Oryzias latipes: one gene and its partners. Each later gene encodes a partner of the first gene's protein in a complex. Links are inferred from orthologs where the notes say so. Each region holds a gene or a part of one and is shown in the gene's direction. Other genes may lie near its edges. The genes, in order: snrpg, gpkow, srrm1, lsm2, lsm4, snw1 and usp39.

Region 1 (3,977 bases):
GGGGCCGGGCTCCAAGAGGCACAGGCTGTACCACTGCGTGCCCTGCCAGCAGGGCTTCTCCGTGCTGGAGTGCTTCCTCCAACACTGTCAGGAGCACCTGCGGGTCCGGGTGGAGGAGGACCGAGAGTCGGAGGCGCTGGCACAGCAGGCCAGCAAAGCCTGATGGGAAACAGAATGTGTCCAACAGCTGCCTTTTTTTTTTTGCTTTATCATCTTCAGGGTTGAAGAGAACATTTGATTTTTTGTTTACTCATCAAAGTGCGATGCCTTCTGCTTTCTGTTTGTTAATAAAGTTGTTACAATTTGAATCAACGCCTGGCAGATTCAAAAGCTATTTTCCCATCAAAACTTAAACTTCCTGGAGAGGGAAAGCACTGATTAACATCATCATTTATGTCTTTAATACACTGAATGTGTTTTGTCAAATTGTGCTGTTTTCTTCCAAATAATCAGCAAATATATAATTATTAATTCTTACATTTTATTTTTTGTCAGGACAGCTTTCCATGAGCACATCACCATGGTAACTTGCTAACAACATCCTACTGAGGATGAATGAAGCTGTTTTTCTTTTTTCTTTAAAATTGCTTGTAAAAGTAAAAATCATAGTTTATCAAATTTATCATAGTTTCAAAATGTTCCCATAACCTCTTAAAGTTAAGGTAGCTCAGGTCATGTTAGTGAGGAAATATGAAGTAATGGATGCTAACATCCTCTTGAATGGCTGGCTGTTCTCTTTGGTAGATTTTGGGTTGAATCTCAGCCATTTGTTTTTTTAGTGAGTGCGAATTTATGAGATTTCCATTTTTCTGAGGGTCTAGCATGAATTCCTATAAACCTTTGCTTCATAAAAAACGTTTTTGATGTCTTTATTGATAGCAGGAAACGTGGATTGTATCTCCTTTCTATGCAAACAAAAGCAGCCGCCTCAAAGTTTTGTTTCTCTAAAGTTATTTTCAGCGGCTCTTTTCAGTGTCACTGTGATGATTTAAAGTTTGAAAAATGTTTTGGGAATTTTTCACAATCTTCCTTTGTAAAGGAAAAAGTAAAACAAACTGTCGCATTTTTTAAATGTATGTTTGATTTTATTTTTGCTTTTGATCATTACAGCTCAGATGTTCAACCAAAAAAAAATAAAACTAATCAGCTGTGCTTTTGCACAAATAAAAATCTATTAATACAATGAGTTTTTTAAGGTTTTCTATATATATATATATATATATATATATATATATATATATATATATATATATATATATATATATATATATATATATATATATAAAATATATCACACACTTCATGTGCATGTATTTTTATAGTTGTTTTGGTCATTTTCTAACTGCAAATAGTATTATTTGCCTTTGGCTGATCCCTTTTTAAACCAGATTACTCCTCCCAGCCGCACGAGGGCGCAGCACAGCAAAGGTCACAGGGTTTTACTTCCGGTCTCCCGGTCCACACGCGTTTCCTACGCGGTTTTGTGAATTGAAACACGACTTTGTTTCGTTAAAATACAGACACCATGAGCAAAGCGCATCCACCAGAGCTAAAGAAGTAAGTTTGCAAGTTTTTGAAAGATGATAGGCCTGATAGCTTCGGTCTTTTTCGCGAGATTGTAGTATGTTTCCATGTTAGCCACCGTTAGCCGGAACAGCTAGGAATTGAAGCTAAATCTAAATAATGTTTTTGTCTTTCAGATTCATGGACAAAAAGCTTTCCCGTGAGTTAAAACTCTCGTTTCATTATTTAATACATATTTCAAAATTACACTATATTTCTATTCATTCGCCGGCTTTTTCTTGTGAAATTAAATTCGCTTTTAGCTAAGCTAGCAGCCTTCATGTTCATCAGTTTGCTCTTTTTGTTTTCTTCAGTGAAGCTGAATGGAGGCAGACACGTCCAGGGCATCCTGCGAGGGTTCGACCCCTTCATGAACCTGGTGATGGACGACTGTCTGGAGATGGGCCCCGGGGGACAGCAGAACACCATCGGGATGGTGGTCAGTGTCCGAGCAGAACTGTGAAGCATGAGGGAATAGTTTAATTCAATGTTTTACCCCACCCGTAATAGCAGGACGAATAGGTTCAATTAAAGATCATACTCTTTATTTATTTTTATCTTTATTAGCAATTCCATCTTTTGACAATTTGAACCAATTTGAGTGCTGTCTACATAGATTTATAAAAACATGCACAACTGTTTTCCTAACAAACCAGACAATCCTATAAAGAAATATGAACCAATAAAATATGTTAGGGGTCTGCTAGTTAGTAACAAAAATGTAAATGTTCTAAAAATCATCTTTTTGATAAAGAAAATTTTCTACCTCACAAATACACTTTTTTTGTTTTAATTACTTTTTTTTTAACTCCTTTTAATTCACTACATTTTGAATAAAGAAATACGCAGAAAAGCAATTTTAAGCATATTTTTTTTAAATATATGTCCTCATCAGAAAAATGCCACAAGAACATGTCAAAGTAAATAAATTAAAGCAATCCCAGTTGGTCATTTAGTGGTTTTGATCATTTCCGGCAACTAATTTTTAATTTTTTCTACAAAAACAAATTTTGTTTCGAAGTTTATTCAAAATTCTTTAGTCAAAGAACCTATTCTATCCACTTTCTCTTGTAAATATAACATTATATTGATAAGACAGACTTCCTCGTTTGTTTTCCAGGCATCTGTATTCTAGTTGCTACTGGTTTTCTAGATCGGGAAGCTGCAGATTCTGCTTGATGAAATCCACCTGATCCACGTGACTAGCTGCAAATAAAGCAGGGTTACTGGAAAACATTTCCACATTTTTATGTGTAGCCAAAAGTTCATTACTACTTAAAATAAATACATCCAGACCAACAGGGGAGCCTCAATGCCTACTGAAAATCTCTCTTAAATATATTATACTGCCCCCCCCCCCCCCCCCCCCCCCCCCCAATACTCCAGCTTTTCCAAAGATGTCTAATTAGTTTATCTGAAACAAAACTGACCTGTCTTTACGGAAGAACAAATAACAATTGCCTGTTCCAGTGAATATCTGTGAAACCAAACGTTGGCAGGTTCGTGGTTTTTCCTGATGTGACAGCCTCAGGAAAGGGTTTAGTAGTTTTTCCCAAACTAGAACATTTCTCTTATTCAACACACAATTGTGTAAAAATAAATGTGTAAACGTGAAAAGATCTGATCTGTTTTCCTTTTGTCTTCCCGAAGGTCATCCGAGGAAACAGCATCATCATGTTGGAGGCTTTGGAGCGAGTATGAGCAGAGCACAGCGGCGCCTCCTGTTTTCTCATTCCATTGTAGTTCATTCACAATGAAAGTCTGTTGGTTTTGAGATGTTTGTTTGTTAATAAACTATTTTTCTTTTTATCCGTGCATTTGTTTGGTTTTACGAAATGTTACTGTATGTGTTCTTTCCTGTAGATGCAGCAAGAATTTAGTGTTTTTGTAATGGAGGATGAGCTGCTAAACAAAAAAAGAATATCTTAAATGTTAGGGTTAGTCTTATCTTAAGGAATTCGAAAGCTTTTTTTATAGCTTAGCTGTTAAAAAGCTATAATGGCTAAACAATGTTGGGAATGCTGGTGATGAAGACATAAATGCTGAACTATTTTAATAATTTGATAGACCTAAAGTCAGCTGAATATTTAAGATATGCGTAATTTCCATTCATGAGCTGGCAAACTTGTTATAAACTAGCAGGCAAGTATTTGTTCATAAAATATTAAAAAGTTGGATTCAGTTTGTTTATTCTTGAGCTCTATCAAGTTTAAAAGTTTCCACGTTGAAAGGAAAAAAATTTAAGGTATTTTAAAATTAAAAACATTAGCTGCTTGACACTAAAACAAAGGGTTACCAATTTTTCTAAAGTTTAAAACTATATACTTTTATTTGGTGGCTGTCAACAAAAAGCTGAGTGTTTTTTTATGTTGTCAGTGTTTAACATCTTAAAAGGTAAATATTCTGAACAAAAA
Region 2 (2,794 bases), about 16 Mb from region 1:
TAGCATTCGCGTGGCGTGCAAGACTACAGATGACTTTGTCCGGGCAGGCCTCTGTGGGAGACTGGCAACGCTGCTTTATCTGCCCCCACCCAGATACACGCAGGCAGCCAGTCAGATCTCCTTCTGCTTCCTTTAATCAGAGGCCTGGCACGTCTCTTCACTGTCATCCCATGTCTTGCTCCATCGTGTGAGCGGCAGATCATGGGGGTCATGAGCCCCGCAGCTCTTTTTTAATGCGGCCTCCTGAATGAGAGAGATCTCCCAGTCAATCTGTGAGGAAAGCCTTGAGTGGGGACAGCGATGAGTGGGAGCGCTGCAGAGATCGGCGCGGCTTCAGTCAGCCGGCGTCGAGTCCCCGAAACCAAAAGGCTGAGTGACACGGACGTTACAGCCTGCCTCCCTCCATCAGCCGCCATCTTTAAACCTTGAGCAGTACACAAACCTCCCATTTAGATCTTCCTTGCTCGTTATTTTGGTAAACATTTCCAGCTTTGTTGTTTTTAAGTCTACAGAGGCAGACTATGAAAGCGTTCCAGTGGAGGCTTACGGACTGGCCATGCTCAAAGGGATGGGTTGGAAGAAAAGTGAAGGCATTGGGCGCACCTTTAAACAGTAAGTGACGGCTGGCTTTACCCCCTGATCTAACATAGACTTTCGGAATGATGTCATTCGTAGATTATTTTATCTTAATTTATGACTAAAAGTGATTTGAATACCACATGTTCTCATTCTTTCTCAGTTCAAAGCTTTTATAGATCAATGGAGAACATCACATCCTTCCTAGTGTTTAAGGAAGTCCTGTTCTCCCAGTTTTTCCTCATTATCCAGCAAAATTCCATAATCTAGACCAGGGGTCAGTGACATTGATGACATGAAGTGCCAATGTGAACTCTTCTCCGTAACAACGGTGCCATCACCAACTCTAGTACAAAGAAACACAAAAAGATCTCCAAAATATCTGAAATGTTGTTTAATGCACAAACAGCAGGTTAAATTGCTTTTTAAACATATTTTTGGCATTAACCCAAAAAAGTGCTTTTACCCAAGGACTCGCACTGGATAAAGCTCATCGCTCCCTCTGGGAATCGAACATGTCCCAGTCCTGCACCTAACTAGCCCATCGAACCAGCCTTCATACATGTAAAAAGAAAAAAACACTTACAATTTTTAAGTAGAAATACAATTAATTAAAATGTATGCATACATTTGATTGGAAAACGAGTTATTTCAAGAAAAAAAAGATCTCTTTGTTGATTTATTGAGATGCTCATATCATTTTACCCGTGGTTAGTCTGCCTGTAGCGCGTCTGTCTTGAACTATTTGAACAGAGAAATGCTTTGAAACATTTGACGCATGCAGAATGTTGTTTTAACTCAGAATTCTCTTAAAATGATCGTTTTGGTGACTGCTCGGAGAACCTTATCTTCATCATATTTTGACATCTTGCTGGCTCAGCAGGTTACACATCCCCACGCGTTTGCACCAATGCAAACTTTAAGCCGTGTGCTAAAAATAAGTAGGTCGGCCGAGCTTCCCCGTAAGCTGTTAAGCTGGACCAATGTGGTGTTAGATGTTTGCAAAGATAGCCGGAGGAGACATTATTTGTTAATTGGGTCGTCACTTCCTCTCATTGTTTGGGATTTCGGGTGTTTTCATTGAGTCGCTCCTCACGCCCGCCGGAGCTGGGGAGGAGACGGAGAACACGGAGGTTTCAAAGCAGAACTTTGTGGAAGGAGGAAAAGTGAGCTGCTGTACGTTTCTGGGCTTCAGCATTCAAGCATCCGTTTCTGCTCAGCTCCTCAGCAGCTTCTAGTTAGAGTTAGACACTTTTCTTCATGCAAAGTGATACGATATTTTTCCTTGACTTGATAACATTTTGACTTTCCCAGCGGGCCCAAGAAATGTCTTTGACCTTTTTGGAATGTCTGAAGCTTTTTAGCAAAATGAGAAGAAGGAAGAAAAAAACTACTAAATTGTTGATACACTTTTTGCCTTCTGTAATAAATTGGATATCAGATGCAACGTATGAAATTACAATAAGAAAGACAACAGAAAGCAAGTTTTAACATGATCAAATCTTCGGCTTGCTGCATCATATAGTTGAGTTTAATTTTGTCATCAAACCTCAGGTTTTTGATTCAGTTTTTCATCTGTTTAACCTTCAGTCTGTTGTTGATCGAAGGCTGATTTTCTCTGTCTGCTTCAGAGACGTGAAGCCAATCGAACACCAGCTCCGCCCGAAAGGCCTGGGCCTCGGAGCGGATCGCTCGGCCATAAAAGATCTGGAACCCAACCGGAATCAGCGTCCGCCGAAACCCGGAGACGAGCCGGGAAAGGAGGAGGAGCTAGTGATGGGTCCTGGAGGTTGTGTGCTGGTGGAGTCTGGAGCACACAAAGATCTCTATGGCAAGGTGGAGTTCAGCATTCCACGTCACTGCCACCCTTAAGCAATTATGTTTTTCCTTTACACCAACCGCTCTGACTTTCCCTGACGCGGCAGATTGAAGGCGTCGATGCAGACAACGCTCGAGTGGTTGTGAAGCTCGCCGTCGGGGGCAAGACTGTGACACTCAGCCAACACGGCGTGAGACTGGTCGGACGAAAAGAATACGACAAATACAGCAAAGACATCAGTGAGTGTCCTTTCTCAGCTGCATGGATTTTTCTCCTAATCGCCTAAATAAATGGTCAAACGCAGAACTATTGTTCCAAGACTTTTCCTTTATTCATGTGGGCAGAATAAAGCACAAAAGGATCAGACAATGTGTTCTTTCTTTTATTTGCTTCCTTGCA
Region 3 (3,666 bases), on another chromosome or scaffold:
AACAAACATGAGTTATTTTGGTGCATGGCAGGTGAGCTACAAGATGCAATACTTTTCAGTTATTATGTTTCAACAATTTGCATTGATGTAAAAATACATTAAAAAAATCAAACTAAACATACGCAAGTTTAAAATTAGCCCAACTGCATGTGATTTTAAAGACAGACCTTTGTTTAAAGGCAAAAACAGCATTGTAATTTGCAATTTTTAACCAAATCGTAGTGCAAAAAAGTTTTTGTTCTCTAAGCAGCACATTCTGTGTGTTGACATTTCAATAATTATATTTAACTTTTGTTTAAAGGTAGACGTTCAGGATACATCTTAAGTAGGTCAAGTAGTAGTAATTGAATGTTTATGCCTGTTTTAATGCGAGTCTCTATGCAGTCTTTGTAAAGTTTTTCTTAGATATAATTCCGAAGTGGGTGGACTTGCCCAAAAAAATCCCAGAAATGTAAGTGTGTAGGTGGGAGGGTCGGGCTGTTAGAATTTAAAGGGGACTTTAGTGTTTTTTTTAAAGAATGAATACAGTAGTAGAACTAGTTTTCAATGTTCTCACTTTTTCATTTATTTGAAATAAAAATAATCTATTTTTTGTGTTGCTGTGTACTCATTATTGCTTGTTCGTCTCTTACAATTTAGAATGATATAACATTAAGCTCAAGGTGGTTGAGTCTCAAGCTGTAGGGAGGCGGAAGCAAGCCAAGGGAGCTCCGTGCCCACTGGTTCCACGGGACTCACTGAAGACACCGGAACTGTATTTGCAGTGTTGGGTTTTAATGCACTCTGTATTATGGTTAATTTGTCGAACCCCTAAAGTGTAGCCTGGGGGGGAGACTGGGAAATGGGTTGGATAGCGTTACTGGGAGTGGAAAGTAGCAAAGTAGCACTTACAAAATAAATTACACATTTTTGTATTTGAGTTTCTGTGCTACGTTAACATATTTAAAACTAAAAAAGATTGCATGGAGTTTATATAATTGTATGAATTTATCATTTTTAACTGATTTATTTGTATTGGTTAGTAGTAAATCCAGCTTTGGACTGAGATATTTGTAAAATGATAGTCACTGTTAAACATGTTTTGATATGATTACATTAATCCAGGTTTAGTCTAGTGAGGGATAGAAGGCAGGACTTCCCATTTGTGGGATCCTGCCTCCTTTTAATATTTTGTTTTCAGATATTTCAACAGCTGTATTTTTTTTCTCTTTTCCCCTTTTCATGTCTGTGTGTTGCAGCATCCAGACAGCAAGATGATGCAGATCAACCTGACAGGGTTCCTGAATGGAAAGAATGCCCGAGAGTTCATGAAAGACCTGTGGCCCCTGCTGTTGAGCGCCCAAGAAAACATCGCCGGCATCCCCTCTGCCTTCCTGGAGCAAAAGAAGGAGGAAATCAGACAGAGACAGGTGCGCTTCCTCATCACCCCTATGTCACATTATTGATCTACAGCAACGTATTTCAGGGTTAAGTTGTAGTCGGTGATTATTTAGCTGAATGCAATGCTTCCCAGCTGTATGATCAGTGCTTTTTGGTGTTTCTCAGATTGAACAGGAGAAGATTGCTTCATTGAGGAAGGTGGATGAAGATAAGAAGGAAAAGGAAAACCGGGAGAGAGCTCAATCAAGGAGTCCAAGACGGTTAGAATTATCATCATTGTTTATGTTGACTGGTTTAAACTTCTGTGAATTTTTTGGGACCTTGTCTGACAAGTCTTTAACAGATGCATTTTAGAACTATATTTATAAATTTACTTCCCTTTAAATAAGTTTTTATGACATTGTATTCCCTGATGCATGTGTTCACAACCATGTGTTTTGATTAGAATTTACTTAACCCCTTGATTCTTGAATGTATTTCCAGCTTTTAAAAAAATGTTTTTGCTTTCAATTAAATGCTAAATTTAGCTAATTTTGGACCCAAAGATTTGATGATTCATGATTTGATGTACATTTGCTTTAATTGTGAAGCTATATCTTATGTTTCTTTGGATTGTCTCACAAAACCATACACTGTTCTGGCCTAAGTCTTACTTTAATACACTGAAACACTTTCTTTTTTTTTTTTTGTTCAGGCGGAAGACAAGATCTCCATCACCACGTCGAAGGTCACCAGTGAAAAGAGAAAGGAAACGCAGTCCATCACGGTCCCCCAGGCGTAAGCCTAGTCCAGTCGGCGGCAGCTCCCCCCCCCCTCTTATGCAGCTGCCCACTAAACCTTCAGAGCAGTCTTTGGAGCCAGATTCATCAGGAAAAGCCGCACAACAACAAGTCGTTCAAGAAGCTTCTTCTGCAGGGTTGGTGGTGTTTTGTTTTTGACAGATTGATTTGATTCATATCTAAAATGGTGGAGAATTAACACTTGAACATTTTTTTATTGCAGAGATACAGCTGTAGAGGCCGCTAAAGCGAGCTCAGCAACGGAGGTTAAAGAAACATCTCCGGAGAAACCTCATAAAAAAGCGGACAGACCACGGTCACGTGAAAGGGAGAGGGATCCGAGGAGAGAAAGGCCTCACCACCGCTCCCGGTCTCACTCCCATTCCCGTAGGCGCCGCTCCCGTTCAAGGTAACGTGGGACATCATTTGTTGAATTAGTGTGAAAAAATTAGGCTGCAAAAGGCTTATTTCTCTTTTCTTTTTCAGATCTTACTCTCCACGTAGAAGACAAAGTCCTAGAAGGAGGATGTCCCCTCGTCGAAGGAGTCCCCCTAGACGGGGCCCCGCTGGCCCCAGACATCGACACAGGCGTTCCCCTGTGCGAAGGTCGGATAGCAGAGATGCTCACCTATGATTTTGTTATACTGTTACAAAACCTTTCATCCAGAGTTTGAGTCTGAACTTCAGTTAATGCTCCCAGAAATATCTCACTAAAGAAACGCATATATTTTGACTTAATCAAAAAGGGAATAAATGCATAAATTTAACTTTTATCGTGTTAATGTGACACAAAATCTATATACCGTAGGTTTCTGTGGGTTTTTTTGTTGTTCCAAATTGCCTTAAAAGTTGTATTAAAATAAACATTAAAAAAAATTACCTTTGGTCTGTAGGAGGCGCTCTCGTTCTGCTTCGTCCTCTGGCAGCAGCTCCTCTGGTTTACGTTCTCCTAAAAAACCCCTGAAAAGAACGTCGACCACCCCACCCCGGAAACAGCGTCCCCCCACATCCTTGAGCCCCGTAGGAAAGGACAAACGCTCGCCTTCTCCACGAATGAGAAGGGGCCAGGGCTCTGCTTCCCCGCCGAGATCCTCAGGTAGGATGTATACTCAAGTCCAATGAGAGAACAAATGTATCGTCTTATCTTGCCTTAAAGCAACACCTGCCCCCCCCCCCCCCCCCCCCCCCCCCCCCCCCCCCAAGAAAAAGTTTTTTTACAGTCCATATTTCTTTGTGACGAAAATATTTAACACATAAATATTCTACAAGCTCGAAATCTAGACAGACTATTTTAAACTTACAGAACTCTCATTTTCAGGTTTCAAGCAAAAACCAGAAGGAAGAGAATCTCCGTCTGAAAATGTTAAGATTGGACCTTCTGACGGCTCCGAGTCAGGTCAGAGCTGAGGCTGTTAAAGAAATGTTCTTGTTTCACACCTTTGGATCAAAAATGACAATGCTACACTTTGGAACCATATTAGATAAAATACACAATTATCATGAAGCA
Region 4 (4,263 bases), on another chromosome or scaffold:
GTTTCCTGTGTGTGCTCGGATGATATTAACAGTTTCGTTGTGACTTCAAGGGTCAAGTGACAACATTTATTCATTCTGTAAAGTCTTTTTAGAATAGGGTTAGTTTTACATGATAGTCTATAGAGAAACTCTGTTTTTGCTTTTAATGATCCACTTATCTACCTATCCATCCTCAGAACCCACTGAATCCTTTAACTGAGCAACTGTTGAGTAAAGTTAGTGGACCACTACGTCACTGTGCAGCCCTATATTTGATGAAAATGAATTAAGTTAACAGTTGCAGAAAGACTCACTCTATCAAGTATGTATCTTGTAATAAAAGAATTTCCAAAACATAGGAAAATTCATAAAAGGAGTAAATGGTCCAGAGTTATCTCACCTGTTTGTTTTTTATCCTGAACTAGAGTCCACTGAGACACCGTCCACTCCACAGTTTAAGCACATTTAGTGGAATTTACCCGTGTCAACAACAGAAGACCCAGGAGCAACGTCTTAACTTTCTCAAAAACAAAACAAAAGAACTTTTGAATTAATAATTATTTTAAAGATAAAACTGTGTACATTCAGTTGTGATTCGTTGCTATAGAGTTTTCTGTTTCAGATCAAGTTCGTAAACCATGATGAGTAAAGAAGCTGAAAAGATTTGTTAAAACATCTGAGTGCTCGACACTGCCCCCGTGTGGTCTTTCATCAGAATACAGAAAGAACTCTTGAAACAAAACGGTCACAATTGTGTTCATTTTCTGATTTTTATTGCATCAAACTGTAGATAAAATCAGAAAGACATTGGAGAAGAAACAGAATAAAACTCCAAATGGCACTGGAGACCAAAGGTTCTTTAAATTAGAAGACGTAAACAATAAATATATCCAGTTTTCATACAGAAAACTTTCAGCATTAAAGCATGAAAAGCATGCTTTCCTTTGACCAGTATAGAAAAACACAATTTCTTTACAAAGATTAATATCGTTATTAATATAGTTTAGGTTCTATGTTTTTATTACGACCCTACGTTTTTTTTTTGTTTTTTTTTGGTGGCCCTAAAACTCCGTCGTAATTTATAAAAGAACATTGAGGAACAAACTTAATCCTGATTAAAAACTCTTGCAGCAAATTATAGACATTTCAGGTTTGTGTTTGTGTGTGTTTTTAAATCACAGTAAAGGTCTGCATACTACAAAAAAATAAAGTTTTGAGGTACAAAAAGTATCACAAACATGTCTGGTAGCTAGACTAGAAGCTAGACTAAATCTGAATTAGACTTTTGATATTTTATTCAATTTTTTAAGAGATGGCTCATAATGTTTTTTATGTCTTTTTTTTTTAAAGAAATATGAGTGAAAGCCTAAATTTAAATCTCGGTCAATGAAAAACACCTGATAGTTCCTTAATAAACATTGAACGACAGTGTGTCTCCCTCTAGTGGCGCAAAGTGGTACTCACTCACCGCTGAAACACGGCGCAGGCTGATACGTCATCAACAGCAGCCAAACCTTCTGTAGAACACCACAGCCAAAATGGTAAGGCGTAAATCGTCATTTTAAAATGTACTTTTTTAGTTTAAGTCAAACATTTTAGGTTTCTGAGTGTCAGAATTCTTCTGAATTTCTTTTGTTTTGTCGCTGAGTTTGCTCGCAGTGTGCTGAGCCGCTTTGTCGGCCCATCATCGTGCTAACATCGTCTTTTTTTTAAAAAAAATCTACAGCTTTTCTACTCGTTTTTCAAGTCTTTGGTTGGGAAGGACGTGGTGGTGGAGCTGAAAAACGACCTCAGGTTGGTTTTGATAACTCAACATACCAATTTGTTTGGTAATGTTTCTTTTCAAAGCGCCGTTTGTGGTTAAAAATGGCGCGTGGTTCTGCTAGCGCTGTTTGAATGGGTGCAGTGAAGAGCTACTTAGCATTGACAGAGACATTGACTCTGTCAGAGTTGCTGTCTTTCCTTCTAGCTGGTGTTTTGCATCTCATGCTGGTCACAGTGGCGTGGGGTTGCCATCCCTTCCTTCCAGCATTTGTTGCAAATCTGGCTCAATAGGTTGGTGCCAGCAGCGTGAAAAATGTACTTTTTTTCCTGTTAGTTTTCTGAGCTAACTCTTGGTCTGCAAACGTGCTGCAAATTCATTTTAGACCTTTTTCCCGAAGAAGTAGGGTCAATTGCGGGGGTGGGGGTGGGGGGTCAATCAAACTAGCTGCATCTCATGATGAAAGCTCAAAAGTAAATATTAAAATTAGCTTACAGTTAGTTGTTGGGCATTCTTTAAAGACGTAACTCATAATTCTTAGCTCCTCTCACAGATGGACGATACTTAGACATGTGGTACTTTTTTTAAAAACCCATCCAAATGAAAAAAGTGGTTTTGATGCCATAAGCTCCCTGCTCTGCTCCATTCTGATGCATCCACTTGCAGGCAAATAGATTTGTCCGTCTTTGTTTTCCTGGTCTGAGCTGGCACAAATAACTGTACGGCTGGATTGCTCCAATATTACTTTTTTTTTCTTTTTTGTTGCACACCTAATGTTGGGTTAAGGGGGGGGGGTTGTAAGTTAGCAAAGGATGATGGGAAGATGGGGCAGGCTTGCTCTGCACCAACGATCTCAGACAAATTTCTAGTGAACAACTGCTGCTCTGCAGAAACTGTCCTAGAAAACGACGCAGGTTTTTTTTTTATTTTTGGCTAAAAACAGCACATTTAAAGACCACTAGGAGCGCTTTAAAAAGATAAGAGTGGGATATAAGAAAAAACAGACTTTCCTGCAGCATTGACAATAGAAATAAATTTACTGAACAAAAACTTTGACTTGTTCAATACAAATTTGCATATTCCCAGAAAGTCATTTAACATCAAAAGTTCACTGTTGCATTGAAAGCTTCATTTTCTCTTTTTCCCCCCAGTATCTGTGGGACGCTTCATTCTGTTGATCAGGTTAGAAAATAATTAATTCTTTACTTTTTTTAATTAATCAATGTATTGGTTTGCAATTTAAAAATGTTGTTCTTGTCATCATCTAGTACCTGAACATCAAGTTGACCGACATCAGTGTGACAGACCCAGAGAAGTATCCACACATGGCAAGTCCTCATCTATGGTTTACTTTTTAGTCTAAAGTTTGCATAGAGGCCTCTAAAACATACAGTTGTTTTTATTCTTTTATTTCCTTCTGTCAGTATAACAAACATTTTTAAAGTTGTCTGCTGGGTGAGAAATGTAGAAGCACACCTTTGGAAGTTCAGTTTCAGTGTAGGGCAGAGCAGACAGCAGTTCTTCAGGTAAACAGCAAAGATTTAGAAACATTTTTCAGAGTTTCTAAACTACAATTTTTCAGAAAAACATTTAAAAATATGCAGAAGTTCTACACTCACTGCCCACTTTATTAGGCGCACCTTGCTAGTACTGGGTTGGACCCCATTTTGCCTTCAGAACTGCCTTAATCCTTGGTGGCAGAGATTCAACAAAGTTCTGGAAACATTTCTCAGAGAGTTTGGTCCATATTGACATGACAGCATCACACGGTTGCTGCAGATTTGTCGGCTGCACATCCATGATGCCAATCTCCCGTTCCACCACATCCCAAAGGTGATCTATTGGGTTGAGATCTGGTGACTGTGGAGACCATCGAGTCCAGAGAACTCATTATTAATAGATGATTTCAGCTTTGCTGCGTTCAAAATCACTTAAATCACCTTTTTTCCTCATTCTGATGCTCGGGTTGAACAGCAGCAGATCATCTTGACCATGTCTAAATGCATTGATTTGCTGTCATGTGATTGGCTGGTTGGAAATTTGTGATAACGAGCAGATGGACAGGTGTGCCTAATAAAGTGGCAGGTGAGTGTAAATGTGGTTATTTGACCCGTGAGAGTGGTGGGAAAAAGAGAAGTGTTAGCTTCTGAATCCCCTTGGATGTGTTCATTCTCTTCCTCTGGAAGGCGCCCTGCCTGACTCCGTGTCTCACGTGTTTCACGCTCTCCAGCTGTCTGTGAAAAACTGTTTCATCCGCGGCTCGGTGGTCCGGTACGTTCAGCTGCCGGCAGACGAGGTGGACACTCAGCTGCTTCAGGACGCCGCTCGGAAGGAAGCCATGCAGCAGAAGCAGTGACCGGGGCTGCGGGTTCGGGGAGGGGGGCTTTAAGTCATGGGTTCTTTATAGTTCAGTTTGAAGAAGACCGCTGTGAACCGCCTCCACACACTGCGCCGGTCGATGGAGAATTGAGTGCATTCCTGATGTTGGCGATGGGCCAACTGCAGGTCTGTGGGTTTATGGA
Region 5 (4,431 bases), on another chromosome or scaffold:
GATCCTCTTAAACAGCCGGAGACCCTCACAGCTGACGACTCCTTCTCCCACAATCAAAAGAAACCTGCCGTTCTCTCTCATCCTGCACGCTGCGTCAAACCCAACGTAATGACGCCATCAACGGAATGACGGCTACGGTGGCTGAGAAATGTCAACTTAGGGAAAAAACAAAAAGAAAAAATAAATAAATAAAAACTACACAAATATCCTATTTTAATACAACCAATTGTCTTGCCTGTGTTTTATCATAAAATAAGACTTTAATTAAGTACCAAGCTATAAATTAGTTGTTGCAAAAATTGCACCAGCAAAAATATGAACGTGTTGGTCAAATTATATAAGGATTCACGTAATTCAATTACATGAATCCATTTGGTAATGAAAAAAATTATTATTTTTTAAACCACTGTCACATTTATTTAGACTTTACCAAAACCAGACAGACCTTAATCATAAAATAGAATAGAACAGAATAGAATAGAATAGACTTATTTTATTGTCACTGTGTCACATGTACACGCAACAAAATTCCAGCTTTTCCTTTTTTATAATACAAGGAGTTGTGGCAGTGATCTATTCAATATTATTCTTCTCTTTCTTCTCTATTATCCTCATTTTATCATCATTATTTTTTTTAATTTTATTCTGTACTAATTTAAGGAATAAAAATGCATTTCACTGAAAATGAAGAAAAAATTACTGTATTATGTTTAGTCTAGACACTCATACCTAATGCGAACTAATCAGCAATGGTACAATCTGAAATTTGAGACACAGGATTTTGCTATAAGATATTATTAAGCGGTTTTATGCTTTGAAGGAAATGTTTGTGTATAGATAGATAGATAGATAGATAGATAGATAGATAGATAGATAGATAGATAGATAGATAGATAGATAGATAGATAGATAGATAGATAGATAGATAGATAGATAGATAGATAGATAGATAGATAGATAGATAGATAGATAGATAGATAGATGGATGGATGGATGGATGGATGGATGGATGGATGGATGGATGGATGGATGGATGGATGGATGGATGGATAGATAGATGGATGGATAGATAGATAGATAGATAGATAGATAGATAGATAGATAGATAGATAGATAGATAGATAGATAGATAGATAGATAGATAGATAGATAGATAGATAGATAGATAGATAGATAGATAGATAGATAGATAGATAGATAGATAGATAGATAGATAGATAGATAGATAGATAGATAGATAGATAGATAGATAGATAGATAGATAGATAGATAGATAGATAGATAGATAGATAGATAGATAGATGTTACACTTGGTCCTCTGTATTTATTTTTGAATTTCGTCACAGTAAAAGAACAAAAGAAAATGCTCCTGTGTTTGATAGATAGATGTTACACTTGGTCCTCTGTATTTATTTTTGAATTTCGTCACAGTAAAAGAACAAAAGAAAATGCTCCTGTGTTTGCGCATGTTTTGCGCTAGGGGGCAGTCATGTTTTAATAAGACGTGGCACCGAGTACGTAGAAAACGAAGAAGAGTCTGCGAGTAAAAATCGTGTTGCTAATCTAAGGCAGCACAAACATAACCTACCAGAATGGTAAGTTATTACTTACAAATGGACTATTTTGTAAAAATCACACACTATATAAAAATACTGACCTGTTCTTTGGCTTCAAAAATCCCATGTAACTGGTTTAAACATCGCAAATCAAGGCTAAGCTACGCTAGCAACCAATGCTAAATTGTTTTCTGCTTGTGGAACGCTGACTATACAAGTGGTTCTTTTTAAAATTATTTTCTATATAAATATATAAGGGGGGGGGGTCACCATTTCAGATACACGTTTAGTACTAAACTAAACACAAACGAATCATTATAGTTCGGAACAGAGCTTAAGTTTCTCCGCCGACACAGAAATACATTCAGACGTGTTCTTCATTTCTGAATCAATATTCCTTTTAGAATGCATTATTTTAATATATCATAGAGATCATAAATCGGACCCATTTCTACTATTTCGCAGCTTCCCTTGTCCCTTTTGAAGACGGCCCAGAACCATCCTATGGTAAGAAATAATTGCTTTTCTTTCCTCCTTCTATTCCTTATCTGGTGATTACTGGTTAAACCATTTTATTCAGTTACTTGTGGTTTTAAGATCAGGTTTTTTGTTTTGTTATTGAGATTGTTTGCATGTTTTTCTTTAAACAATAATTTTTGTGCATTTCTTTTTGAATAAAGAAAGAACCTTTTAGAAAACCATAATCACCAGCTGACCTTTTTTTCAATGAACTTTGATTTTTTTCAGCTGGTTGAACTGAAGAATGGAGAAACCTACAACGGTCATCTGGTTAGCTGTGACAACTGGATGAACATCAACTTGAGAGAAGTCATCTGCACATCCAGGGTAACAGATTTGCTCTCATGTTCTCAGTGGAGAACGATCCATAAACTGCACACCTTAAATAAAAAAAATTAGCTTAAATTTAACAGTCGCTTACCTGTTTCCTTCAGTTTTCATTCTGACTACCTTAGCCGTTTAAAGACCCACCCCAATTAAAATAGTGTATTTGTTTGGTTTGGTTTTTAACATGTTTTGTGGCATTTTTCTCATAATGACGGACATATATAAAGAAAGTTTGTAGGCAATTAGATCCATTTACGTCTTGGTTTTCCTCGTCTGAGCTGGCATCTGGCTTTAAACTGTACGTCTGTATAGCTTCAACATTCCCCACCAATTTTCTTGCACTTGGTGTTAGATTGGGGGTATGAGGGTGTGTAAGCTAGCAGGAGAGTGGAAACAAAGGGACCTTGGAAAATGCGGCAGGCTTTTTTAGGTATATTTCTAATGAACTTCTGTCACTCTGCAGAAACTGTCCTAGAAAACAAGACAAGTTTTTCATTTTGGCTTAAAGCTGCATAATGAAAAAAAACAAAATCAAAATACTGGGAATAGATCAAAAGATAATTGAAGTGAGCCTTTAAAATATAAAGACTAATGTATAATGAAGCAATGGTTTTAGTAAAACATCCTTTGATACATGTTGGAACAAAAACCTCAACGCTAATTTTTTTTGTTAGAAGAAAAAGGACTGATTATTGTTAAAGGCCCTGTACCATGCTATTCCTAAACCATTCATGGTAAAGAATATCCATATATATATTACCTTTGGCCCACAAAAGAAAGATTTTTTAAATTAAATATTAGTTACGTGGCGCAGTGGTTAGCGCAAGATCCCCCAGCCAAGTTTTGGGGACTTGGTTGCTGTTGGTCCCCCAGCCAACTGCAAGCCCAGCCAGGTCCAAGACTTGGCTGGGGGACCTGAAAAAGAACCTGTCTGTGTGGAGTTTGCATGTTCTCCCCGTGCATACGTGGGTTTTCTCCGGGGACTCCCACCTTCGTAGGTTAATTGGTTACCTTAAATTGTCCATAAGTGTGAATGCAAGTGTGCATGGGTGAGTGATTTGTGGACCTGTGACAGACTGGTGTCCTGTCCAGGAAGCCCCCTGCCTTCACCCATGAGTAGCTGGGATAGGCCCCGGCAGCCCAGTGACCCCAAAAGGGACAAAGCGGGTTTAGAAGATGAATTAAAAAATGATGAATGAATATTAGTTATTTTCCTGAGTTATTTTCCAACCTGGAAGCAAGACGACTGGATCTGAGGCACCGGCACTTCCATGATGTCAACCTATAGCCAGCATCAACAACATGTCTGTGTCTCGCCCACGAAACAAACAACATTCAAACTTTCGTAAAGATGAATGTGCATATTGAGCATGTAAAGAGAGTTTTGCCAAACACCACTAGCTTCATGGAGTGTGTGTTTTAGCCTGGGGGCGGGGCTGGCAGCGCAGACTCTTCCTGGAAGGGGCTGTTCTCACTTATCTACATCAGCTCGTGAGAACCCGCTTGTTTTTGTGGGTTAGGTGTGGCTGGTTCCTGGAGCACAGGTTTTTAGAGGAATTCTCAGAAATGCGTGAATGGGTCAATACTGGTTTGAGGTTTCTTTATAATACACCGGGAAGTTCAAAAAAGGGATTTAGCATAGACCCTTTGAAGTATACTGGTTACACTCATCGTTTGGTCTTTTTCCCACAGGATGGTGATAAGTTTTGGAGGATGCCAGAGTGCTACATCAGGGGAAGTACCATCAAGTATCTGCGAATTCCAGATGAGATTATTGACATGGTGAAGGATGAGGTGGTTTCTAAGGGTCGTGGACGTGGAGGTGCCCAGCAGAATAAGCAGCAGGGTAAAGGAAGAGGCGGAGCCGGCCGAGGTGAGAGGAAGCAACTTCTGCATTTGTTCTGTCATGATTTGCCTTAATGAGACTTAGATCAGCTTAAAATAAGTAAAAAATCCCTCTGTTAAAGCTTTTAAACACATCTGGTGAAACATCATCTTTATTTGTTTAGGAATTTATTATTCTAACTTG
Region 6 (4,455 bases), on another chromosome or scaffold:
CTGGAGTTTTTGTTGACTTGCTTTGTGTGTTTTTGTTATTTTGTTTGTTTACATTTTATTTTATTATTCATGGATGCCATATTCTTTCAGTTTTACGGTGATGTGTTAGATTTGGGATTAAATTCGGCGGGATTTTGTGTCAGGATTTGAAATTGTTGGTTTCGAGGTAACCCTGATCCCTAATTTCAGAAAAAAATGTTCAAACTTTTCTGCTAAATTTCAGGGATACCTGTGCAAAAGTGTAAATCAACCCCATTGTTTCCTGATCGCATTTGTTTATAATTTCAAGTTATACCAAAGAGAACAAAATCCTGATAAATATGGGATCCAAAATGAAGAGGAACAAACTTAATGAAATCAAGAGACAACATTCGCTGGTGGGAAATAAAAATAAGGCAAAGAATTTCATTGATTTTGAGGATTCGTGTCTCTGCACGACAGCAGTGCAAACTGCTAGATATCTTAGAAAAACCTTATTGACAGATCACAGGCTTTAATATACATTTAGGCTTTAAGATTGACAGAAAAAGGATTTAGACTCGCAACATCTGCATGAAAGCAGGATATGAAATCACTTATCCATGAGTGGACTTAATAAGGTGGCTACCTGTTTTCTATTAGATCCTAAGGGATTTCCTTCTGTTTCAGCAAAAGTTCTCTGGCAGTCTGAGTCTCTTCCTGAATATGAATGATACTTTTTATTAAATATGAAAACAATCCAAAGGAAATGGAGGAAGTTTCCATCCACCAAAAAAAAATCCTCTTTTGAAGTAACAAAATATGTATCTGAAGTATCCTTATGTAATTTATAAAAACATTTATGCATTTTTTTTATTCAAGCATATCATTCTTTTATTCTGTCATCCTTGTTTTTTTATAAAATTATTATTTTTCTATTGTTGTTTTTTGTGTAATTTAAATGTTGCTTTAACTTCTTAACTTTACCTTTGACTCCCGTGTTTCTTCATTGGGAACCTGGCCTGCTGAGTCCAGGGCAGGGATCTGCAACCTGAGGCTATGGAGCCACATGTCCATCCATTGTGGCTCTAAGGTTTAAAAAAAAAAAGGGAATGATTTGAAGAAATTATAAATGTGAAGTTTGGAACAAAATAATAATAAGAGTTGTAGTGTACTGTCTGAGTGTTTTTTGTTTTGTTTTTTTCAAATAAGCCTTAAAGCTCTTTTTCTGATCCTCTGCGCCACAACACTGTGTAGTTGCTGTTCAGAGACAAAGTTCTTATAGTTTATAAGTTATGATGCAGCCAGAAGATCTTATTTGGTACAGGGTGTAATTTATTTTTAAAGGAATTTGGATAAGCGGCCGTCAGAAGTAAAGCAAGTCCAAATTTGTATGCATAGAAAATATAAAGGCTGTGTTATTTCAATTATTTTAAATATTTAATAACTTTATTTTATAGATGAATAGATGATTGGCCAATACAACATATAGGGTTTTTTAATAATTAGAAAAAAATGTGGGAAGCACAAGTGTATGTATAAAGTTTCGTGTTTTTTTCATTGGGTGGGTGAAAGCCTGTTTTTTGTGTGCATTGGCTTTTATTATGTAATTAACTTAACAAGTTAACATAACAAATAAAATGTTGTAAAACGAGTATGTACTTTTATTTTATTTTGTTTTTATCGAACTGGACATGGTTTGATATGTATTAGAGCTTAGAATTGTCAAACCTGGCAACCTTCTTCTCTTTTTCGCTTACGGCCTGTTCTTGCGCATGCTCACTTCATAGTTCAGGAAGAAAGGAAAATGTCTCTGACGAGGTAAGTCTCTAAGTGAGGCCTTTTGGCGAATAAGGCACAAAATGCGATCGGAGTTTCTGTCTGTGTTTGTTATACATTTATTTGGTTTAATATTAAACGTTAAATATTTAGTTAAACTTTAAACGTTTCGCTCTTTTCTGTGTTTATGATGTTAGCTAATGCTAGCTAGTGCTAACTAGTGAGACGGGGTTAGCATTAGCTTGTACCCTCAAACGACCGTTTCTGAAGTTAGCTTGTTTGTTTAATCTATTACTTAAACACATGTATTTGATATCGTGTTAAATAAACCTCTTTACCTGCATTAACGTTTCAGGTTTGCAGTTTTTGTTCCTGCTACTTTGACGTCGTTTCACGCTGATCCGCGTTTACAGCGACTTGCTAAGTTGTCTTTAAACTGCATTATGTGGACCTGTTTTGCACAGCTATTTACCGGCACCGACCCAGCTGTCTCAGGACCAGCTGGAAGCAGAAGAGCGGATTCGGACCCAGAAATCCTATTCCACTGCGCTGGTTGCGTCCCGTAAAGAACCCCCTCCTTACGGACACAGAAAAGGCTGGGTTCCGCGTGCATTTGAGGTGCACTTCAATGGATTACACATTGGTTCACTGCCTAGTTTCGCATTTCTACAAAACATTCTGGGTGTTCCTAGGACTTCGGAGATGGCGGGGCTTTTCCAGAGATTCACGTGGCCCAGTTTCCTCTGGAGATGGGCAGGAAGAAGAAGACCTCTAACGCCCTGGCAGTTCAAGTGGACGCAGAAGGGAAAATCAAATATGATGCCATTGCCAGACAAGGACAGGCTAAGGATAAGGTACTTGAGCTTTTCCTCTTTCTGGCAGTCAGTGAGGAGCTTTAAAACCCTATTCTTGCTCTTAGTGTCCACAAATACATGAGAGGTTCTGACTTCTTGGTTCTATTCCTATCAGACACGGCTGTGTTTTATTTGTATTTTTTCACATAAAAAAGAACCAACAAGTCAGTTAATAATACAAGACACGATGAACTTTATCAAACTAACATGAGAGGTTCATTATATGACTTGACAGATTCTAAATTGACCTCTAAAAGTCCAGCTGAAGAACCGATGTTCTGGATGACAGAATCTCCACAGAAATGTGGGACCTAATCTTAACTTTGGTAATACAGCTTGGTTTGGTTGTCATTTAAAAAAAATGCACACTATAGTGTTTTGTTTTTTGTAAAAACCATGTTTGATCCTTACATTTCTATTGGTGTTCATACACGACACTCCAGACGCATGTGGGAGGAGCTACCGCCAAACGGTTTTAGCCTCATTGCTGCAGACAGGGATGATGTTGAGATATCACGTTTTTCTACTTTGAAGAGCTCTACAAAAATGTCGATAGGCACGTCTCCATGTCTTGATCAATGAGATCATCCAGAGACTCCCACATCTGCTCCTGAAAGGGAAACCCAGTTTGACGACTTTCTGTTCTGCATTCAGGACCTTTTTTTGTGTGTCTTGATCCACTTATAACATCTTCAACGCATCCCGGTCCGAAGAGGAGTCCCTGATTGGTTGACGCGGCGCATCTTGTTTGCCGAAGTTCATATTTTTGAACTCTTGACGCACCGCAACAGCCAAAAAAGCGCGCGGCTGCCAGACTGGTGTGCAGCTCCAAAATCAAATCTGATTGCTTCTTTACGTTAAGCTAACATTAAAACTGGACACTCCTAATGCGCAAATGGCATTTAGTGTAAACGCAGCTTTACACAATCTATCCTATTCTATGAGTCTGCATGTTTTGCCATATTGGTAAATTTTGAGTGAGATTATTTCTATAATTTTCTTCTTGATTTTTGTAGGTGATTTACAGCAAGTACACTGATCTGCTCCCAAAAGAAGTTCTTAATGAAGACGCTTCAGGCCTTCAGAAGCCGGATGAGGAGGCTGTAGAAGAGGTAATTTGCTGCTCGGGCTCGTGCAGACATTCAGGATTCATTCATCCGATTTGGTGAAATTGTCTTTCAGCGTGCCCTTACTTATTGTTTTTAATTACTGTAAGCATGTGTAGTTTCTCATGGTTGGGGATGGATGCTCTTTGCAGTTGACTGAGAAGACTCGGGCCGCTCTACAAAAGCAGGTGTCGCAAAAGATTGCTGCAGCCATGCCTGTCCGGGCCGCCGACAAACTCGCTCCTGCACAATATATCAGGTAGCAATTTACCTGAATCATAAACAGTACTTCTATTTTAGATCGAGGACTTCTTTGTTGTTCCATCAGATCCTCTTGGATTTTGCAATCACACCAGTTCACATGAATTCAACCAATTCTTGCGACGTTTTTGCCCAATTACTTTTGCCAGCTGCTCTTATTTTAAACACTTTCTCCACCAATCAAGCGTAGAGGCTGAAGCATAAACATCTCTTGTCTAATCGAACATGCTTACTTCTGGAACTATATCAAACAACAAAAGGAAGTATTGAACAGTCGGTCTATCACAACATTTTGCAAATATTGAAGCTGGAAGTTTCCTTCAACGTTGCGTTGAAGCACCAGCGAGTCGATGATTGACGAGAACCTTTCCACCTGACGTTTGCAGAAAACGACTGAAAGTTGTGTAGAGAGTATATGGAGATGTTGATTTACCCTTCATGGGGTTAAATAAAATCCCCTTCAATAAACAACTTTTCAAATATTTCTCCTCCTACAG
Region 7 (4,219 bases), on another chromosome or scaffold:
GCGCCTGTGCCGCTGAAGCTCTTTGGCTTGCTTCACTTCTTTATCATAGTCATCTCTTATAAAGAAATTGAAATATTTTCTGATTATTTCTTAAAAACATAGCAAGTTGCACAGTTGAATAAAACACAGAGCATCTTGGTCATGGCCATGAACTTAAAAATGTTCCTAGGTCTGTTTACACATTGGAGGATAATACTTTTTTTAAAATTTTATTATTTTAAGGCAAAACAGCTTTGTTTTTCATACATCAAAGCAATTTAAAGAGCCGCACAACAAAGCAACATTATTATTGCTGTTCTTTTAGCTTTATAGTTCATCTTTCAAAGTTGCCTAAATAAAATCAACATGTTAAAAATCCGTTTTAAATGATTAAATAAAGAGTGAGAGTGTGGGAATTAAAACAAACTTTTTTGTTTGGACGTAAATCAAAATACTTATCATACATTATTGTAGCAGCTTTTTTTAAGACCAGACAGAGAGCAGATGCTGTAAAACAGCCCAACTCAGCGTATGTAATTTATCAAGGAGGAACTTTAAAAGTTTTACACACCAAACCTAAGTTTATATAATAATCCACTTTTAAATAATAAATTACACTAATAAAACATAAACCGAATAACTTAATGCTCCTTTTAAAATTTCAGTCAGTCCAATAGGGTTTTGCTTCTACTGCTTTAAAGTAAAAATAAACTTGACTTTAAGCCTTTTAGGTACTTTAAAAAAATGTTATTTCACTGTCTGCCATTTTTAAAAAAATCATTTCACATCAATCATGAAATGACAGCAGCTACAGATTGACATTTGACATCCCAAGTAAGTATGCTAACTCGGCTAACAGCAAAAAGGAAATCACCTGGCAATCTGGTTCCTCCGAATATGATGAAGGAAACCGTGGCTCATGTCCAGACGGCCCCCCGGTTTGTACTTCAGCTCATGCACTCCTTCATCTCTTATAAGATCCATTTCAGCAAACACTCTAGAAAGAAAACACAGCTAAAGAAGAACAAGCAAAATACTAACAAAAAGCTAGACAGCTAACGATGTATAAATGGATGTCCAACCGTAGCGTTCCCGGAGTTTCTACAAATTAATTTATTGCGTGTAAGTCCTACAATGCACATTGAACTAAAATATAAACTATTTTGGTTATATTTCTGTGACAAAAAAAGAAACTGAAGTATACAAATAAATAAAATATATTACTTAGAGTTTACATGGGGGTAAACATTTATTTTTTAAACTCCGGGTTACGTTTTGGTTTCCCACGCCATTACCACCGACGTACAACCACCGCGAGTTTCGAGGAGCTGAATAATATCCATTCATTTCCTCTCGTAAACCTTCAAGTTTTGTTAATTTTTGTTTCGTTAGCAAACCGTTTGCTAACTTATAGTTACAAGAATGTCTTTAAAGCGTGAAAGGGAGGAAATAGAAGACGACGAGGATAACGAAGACGAAGGTATGCTGATTTGTCTCTTACGTCCGTTTTTCGTTTTGTTAGCCAGCCAGAAGAGCATTTTCTAGCATAAAAAGTTTATATTGTGTCAGTTCCATTCTACACCAATAAACTGATGGTTTCACATGTAAGACAAAGACAATCAGCATATAAAAATATATGTAAAACCTGTTTATTTTAAAACAGAGATCGATTAATAGAAAAATCTTAGCTTGCTAGCAAGCATGTTTTGATTGCTAGTAGTTAGTTGTTCTCGTAAAAATGAATTCCGTTTACGTCTACTGAGCTTTATCGTGATTTGCTCTCTTTTGCAGTGACAGTCAAATTTAGGCGAGGACGTGTGGTTGAAGACCGAAGAAGCCGCCATTGTCCTTACCTGGACACCATAAACAGGCAAGGAAATGTTTGAAAATGTATGCTAAAGCTAGTTAGCATTCTTCTTGTAATTCAGTTTCTTCTCGTCTTGCAGGAGTGTTCTGGATTTTGACTTTGAGAAGCTCTGCTCCATTTCTCTGTCTCACATTAATGTTTATGCCTGTCTTATTTGTGGGAAATACTTTCAAGGTAGACATATTAGCACATCAAACGCACATTGTTATTTTCCTTTTTAGATGACACTAAACATCTTTACGTTTGCATTCCTTGTTGCAGGCAGAGGTCAGAAGTCTCATGCCTACACTCACAGTGTCCAGTTTTCTCACCATGTGTTCCTCAACTTGCACACACTCAAGTTTTACTGTCTGCCAGACAACTATGAGATCATTGACTCATCGCTAGAAGACATCACAGTAAGTAATGCAGTAAATCTGCTGTTTTTCAATGTATAAATGAAAAGGTAATTGCTCTGGGGGGAAAAGTAAACAGTTACATGTTAAAATTAAACAAAGTTTTTTGTTTTTCTTCTAGATATGATTGATAGATTCTTTTGCTCACATTCCTTGTTTGTCAGTGTAACACTTCAATAGTTTTCATTAACATATTCTGTGTTTAAAAATAGTTTTAACTTGTGAACCCAGAGTACATAAAAATGTGTTCGATATTTATATATTTTATACAAGGCCAATGTATTTGATTGCATAGTATATTTTATTTACTATATTTTGCACATAAGTATCAGTACTAGTATCTAAAAATAAGTTATTTAGCAATGTCTTAAAGTATACTTTTTAGAGTTTTGGCTGTAATTTTAATACGTCTTTTTTTTTTACATTTCTTTTTTAAATTTTTAATGTTTTATGTTAAGTAATTTTTACCCCTCCTTTTTTTATTTTTTGTAAGCTCTTGCTTTGTGTTGGTAATCTTGCTCTTTTTTTCTTTAGTATGTGCTGAAGCCGACTTTCACCAAGCAGCACATTGAGGGTCTGGACAAACATGGTAAACTGTACAGAGCCTACGATGGTACAACCTACCTGCCAGGGATTGTAGGGCTTAATAACATTAAAGCCAACGACTATGCCAATGCTGTACTACAGGTATGAAACCCCGCTGATGTTGATTTTTGAGGCTGTGGCATCAACTTAAATAACAGGGGGTTTCATATTGTACTTTTGTTTTTAGGCTTTTTCCAACGTCCCACCTTTGCGAAACTACTTCCTTGAGGAGGAGAACTACAGAGACATCCGGAGGCCACCAGGGGACATCATGTTTCTGCTGGTGCAGCGGTTTGGGGAGCTGATGCGCAAACTTTGGAATCCGAGAAACTTCAAGGCCCACGTGTCGCCCCACGAGATGCTGCAGGCTGTAGTCCTGTGCAGCAAGAAAAACTTCCAAATCACCAAACAAGGTAACTATTTTGTGGCCTGTGGAGTGCTGACATAAATAGGGCCATGTAGGCTGAGATTTTGGGCAAAAACCTCATTCCATCAATGAGAGCACTAAAGATGAAACATGGCTGGATCTTCCAACATGACTGATCCCAAAAACATAACTCTGGCATCAAAGAGAATCTGTGGAGGGAGTTTAAAGTATGTTTCTCAGCAAAAGCCTCAAAACATTACAGCTCTGCATGGAAGAATGGTCCAGAATAATAGCTATAGTGTTTGTAAACCTGCTTAAGACCTATGTTTGACCTTTGTCATAGATAATCATGGTTACATTACAAACTATTGAGGTGAACTTTTGTTGTTGACCAAATTCTTATTTTCTGCACTATTATACAAATACATTCTCTAAAAATCTGACAATGTGATTTCCTGGATAATTTATTGGACATTTTATCTCTCAGTTGAAGTATATCTATGGTAAACATTACAGACCAAACTCAGCTTTTTGAGCGGGACAACTTGCAGAGTCAGTGGCTGCCAAATACTTTTTTGCCCCACAATCTTTAACTCACTGGATAAGTTTGTAGAGTTTGCTCAATGTTTTCTGGTTTGCAGGTGATGCTGTGGACTTCATGACATGGTTCCTAAACGCCATGCATGGCGCTCTTGGAGGCACAAAGAAGAAGCCATGTGAGTCAGAAATTCACTCCTAGTTTATAGTAAATCTGTTGAATTTCTGAATTCATTTATTTGATGTGTAATTTTCTCTTTTATTCCAATGTAAGGAGTCTATTTTAGAGCCAGTGCTGGTTGTCTGCATGCAATGTCCTTCAATTTAACTGGTCTGCTCTTTGTTTTCACACAGCAATTCTTACAAAAGTCTTTCAAGGCTCCATGAGGATTTTCTCCAAGAAACTACCACATCCAGATTTAGTAAGTCTCTGTTTAGCTTTTATTTTAAAATTATATGACATAGCAAGTTATGCCAGCCAAAAAAATA

What was found.
Region 2: snrpg (region 1) and gpkow share a complex: the UniProt entries of both Homo sapiens proteins name them as parts of the minor spliceosome. The link is inferred for Oryzias latipes from reciprocal best matches to the Homo sapiens genes SNRPG and GPKOW.
Region 3: snrpg (region 1) and srrm1 share a complex: the UniProt entries of both Homo sapiens proteins name them as parts of the minor spliceosome. The link is inferred for Oryzias latipes from reciprocal best matches to the Homo sapiens genes SNRPG and SRRM1.
Region 4: snrpg (region 1) and lsm2 share a complex: the UniProt entries of both Homo sapiens proteins name them as parts of the U4/U6-U5 tri-snRNP complex. The link is inferred for Oryzias latipes from reciprocal best matches to the Homo sapiens genes SNRPG and LSM2.
Region 5: snrpg (region 1) and lsm4 share a complex: the UniProt entries of both Homo sapiens proteins name them as parts of the U4/U6-U5 tri-snRNP complex. The link is inferred for Oryzias latipes from reciprocal best matches to the Homo sapiens genes SNRPG and LSM4.
Region 6: snrpg (region 1) and snw1 share a complex: the UniProt entries of both Homo sapiens proteins name them as parts of the minor spliceosome. The link is inferred for Oryzias latipes from reciprocal best matches to the Homo sapiens genes SNRPG and SNW1.
Region 7: snrpg (region 1) and usp39 share a complex: the UniProt entries of both Homo sapiens proteins name them as parts of the U4/U6-U5 tri-snRNP complex. The link is inferred for Oryzias latipes from reciprocal best matches to the Homo sapiens genes SNRPG and USP39.

Annotation. Positions count from the first base shown.
Region 1 is NC_019865.2:4,866,663-4,870,639, reverse strand, and holds snrpg (small nuclear ribonucleoprotein G), read left to right. Parts: upstream 1-1,411; 5' UTR 1,412-1,525; coding exon 1,526-1,557; intron 1,558-1,700; coding exon 1,701-1,723; intron 1,724-1,877; coding exon 1,878-2,002; intron 2,003-3,213; coding exon 3,214-3,264; 3' UTR 3,265-3,372; downstream 3,373-3,977. Other genes in the region: zinc finger protein Xfin, read left to right, coding at 1-163. UniProt on the Homo sapiens protein: Plays a role in pre-mRNA splicing as a core component of the spliceosomal U1, U2, U4 and U5 small nuclear ribonucleoproteins (snRNPs), the building blocks of the spliceosome.
Region 2 is NC_019865.2:21,312,233-21,315,026, forward strand, and holds part of gpkow (G-patch domain and KOW motifs-containing protein), read left to right. Parts: intron 1-505; coding exon 506-612; intron 613-2,207; coding exon 2,208-2,412; intron 2,413-2,501; coding exon 2,502-2,634; intron 2,635-2,794. UniProt on the Homo sapiens protein: RNA-binding protein involved in pre-mRNA splicing. As a component of the minor spliceosome, involved in the splicing of U12-type introns in pre-mRNAs.
Region 3 is NC_019880.2:16,881,343-16,885,008, forward strand, and holds part of srrm1 (serine/arginine repetitive matrix protein 1), read left to right. Parts: intron 1-1,238; coding exon 1,239-1,409; intron 1,410-1,545; coding exon 1,546-1,640; intron 1,641-2,074; coding exon 2,075-2,296; intron 2,297-2,382; coding exon 2,383-2,568; intron 2,569-2,645; coding exon 2,646-2,765; intron 2,766-3,052; coding exon 3,053-3,255; intron 3,256-3,477; coding exon 3,478-3,555; intron 3,556-3,666. UniProt on the Homo sapiens protein: Part of pre- and post-splicing multiprotein mRNP complexes. As a component of the minor spliceosome, involved in the splicing of U12-type introns in pre-mRNAs. Involved in numerous pre-mRNA processing events.
Region 4 is NC_019862.2:27,136,595-27,140,857, forward strand, and holds the start of lsm2 (U6 snRNA-associated Sm-like protein LSm2), read left to right. Parts: upstream 1-1,399; 5' UTR 1,400-1,517; coding exon 1,518-1,520; intron 1,521-1,705; coding exon 1,706-1,773; intron 1,774-2,892; coding exon 2,893-2,923; intron 2,924-3,009; coding exon 3,010-3,069; intron 3,070-3,971; coding exon 3,972-4,097; 3' UTR 4,098-4,263. UniProt on the Homo sapiens protein: Plays a role in pre-mRNA splicing as component of the U4/U6-U5 tri-snRNP complex that is involved in spliceosome assembly, and as component of the precatalytic spliceosome (spliceosome B complex).
Region 5 is NC_019862.2:13,834,342-13,838,772, reverse strand, and holds the start of lsm4 (U6 snRNA-associated Sm-like protein LSm4), read left to right. Parts: upstream 1-1,472; 5' UTR 1,473-1,592; coding exon 1,593-1,595; intron 1,596-2,021; coding exon 2,022-2,063; intron 2,064-2,303; coding exon 2,304-2,402; intron 2,403-4,094; coding exon 4,095-4,275; intron 4,276-4,431. UniProt on the Homo sapiens protein: Plays a role in pre-mRNA splicing as component of the U4/U6-U5 tri-snRNP complex that is involved in spliceosome assembly, and as component of the precatalytic spliceosome (spliceosome B complex).
Region 6 is NC_019882.2:3,678,805-3,683,259, reverse strand, and holds the start of snw1 (SNW domain-containing protein 1), read left to right. Parts: upstream 1-1,652; 5' UTR 1,653-1,765; coding exon 1,766-1,779; intron 1,780-2,201; coding exon 2,202-2,355; intron 2,356-2,429; coding exon 2,430-2,591; intron 2,592-3,607; coding exon 3,608-3,703; intron 3,704-3,849; coding exon 3,850-3,956; intron 3,957-4,455. UniProt on the Homo sapiens protein: Involved in pre-mRNA splicing as component of the spliceosome. As a component of the minor spliceosome, involved in the splicing of U12-type introns in pre-mRNAs.
Region 7 is NC_019867.2:12,332,940-12,337,158, forward strand, and holds the start of usp39 (U4/U6.U5 tri-snRNP-associated protein 2), read left to right. Parts: upstream 1-1,286; 5' UTR 1,287-1,401; coding exon 1,402-1,459; intron 1,460-1,770; coding exon 1,771-1,849; intron 1,850-1,925; coding exon 1,926-2,020; intron 2,021-2,107; coding exon 2,108-2,244; intron 2,245-2,775; coding exon 2,776-2,928; intron 2,929-3,013; coding exon 3,014-3,239; intron 3,240-3,834; coding exon 3,835-3,909; intron 3,910-4,084; coding exon 4,085-4,152; intron 4,153-4,219. Other genes in the region: c9h2orf68 (UPF0561 protein C2orf68 homolog), read right to left, coding at 1-55, 854-963.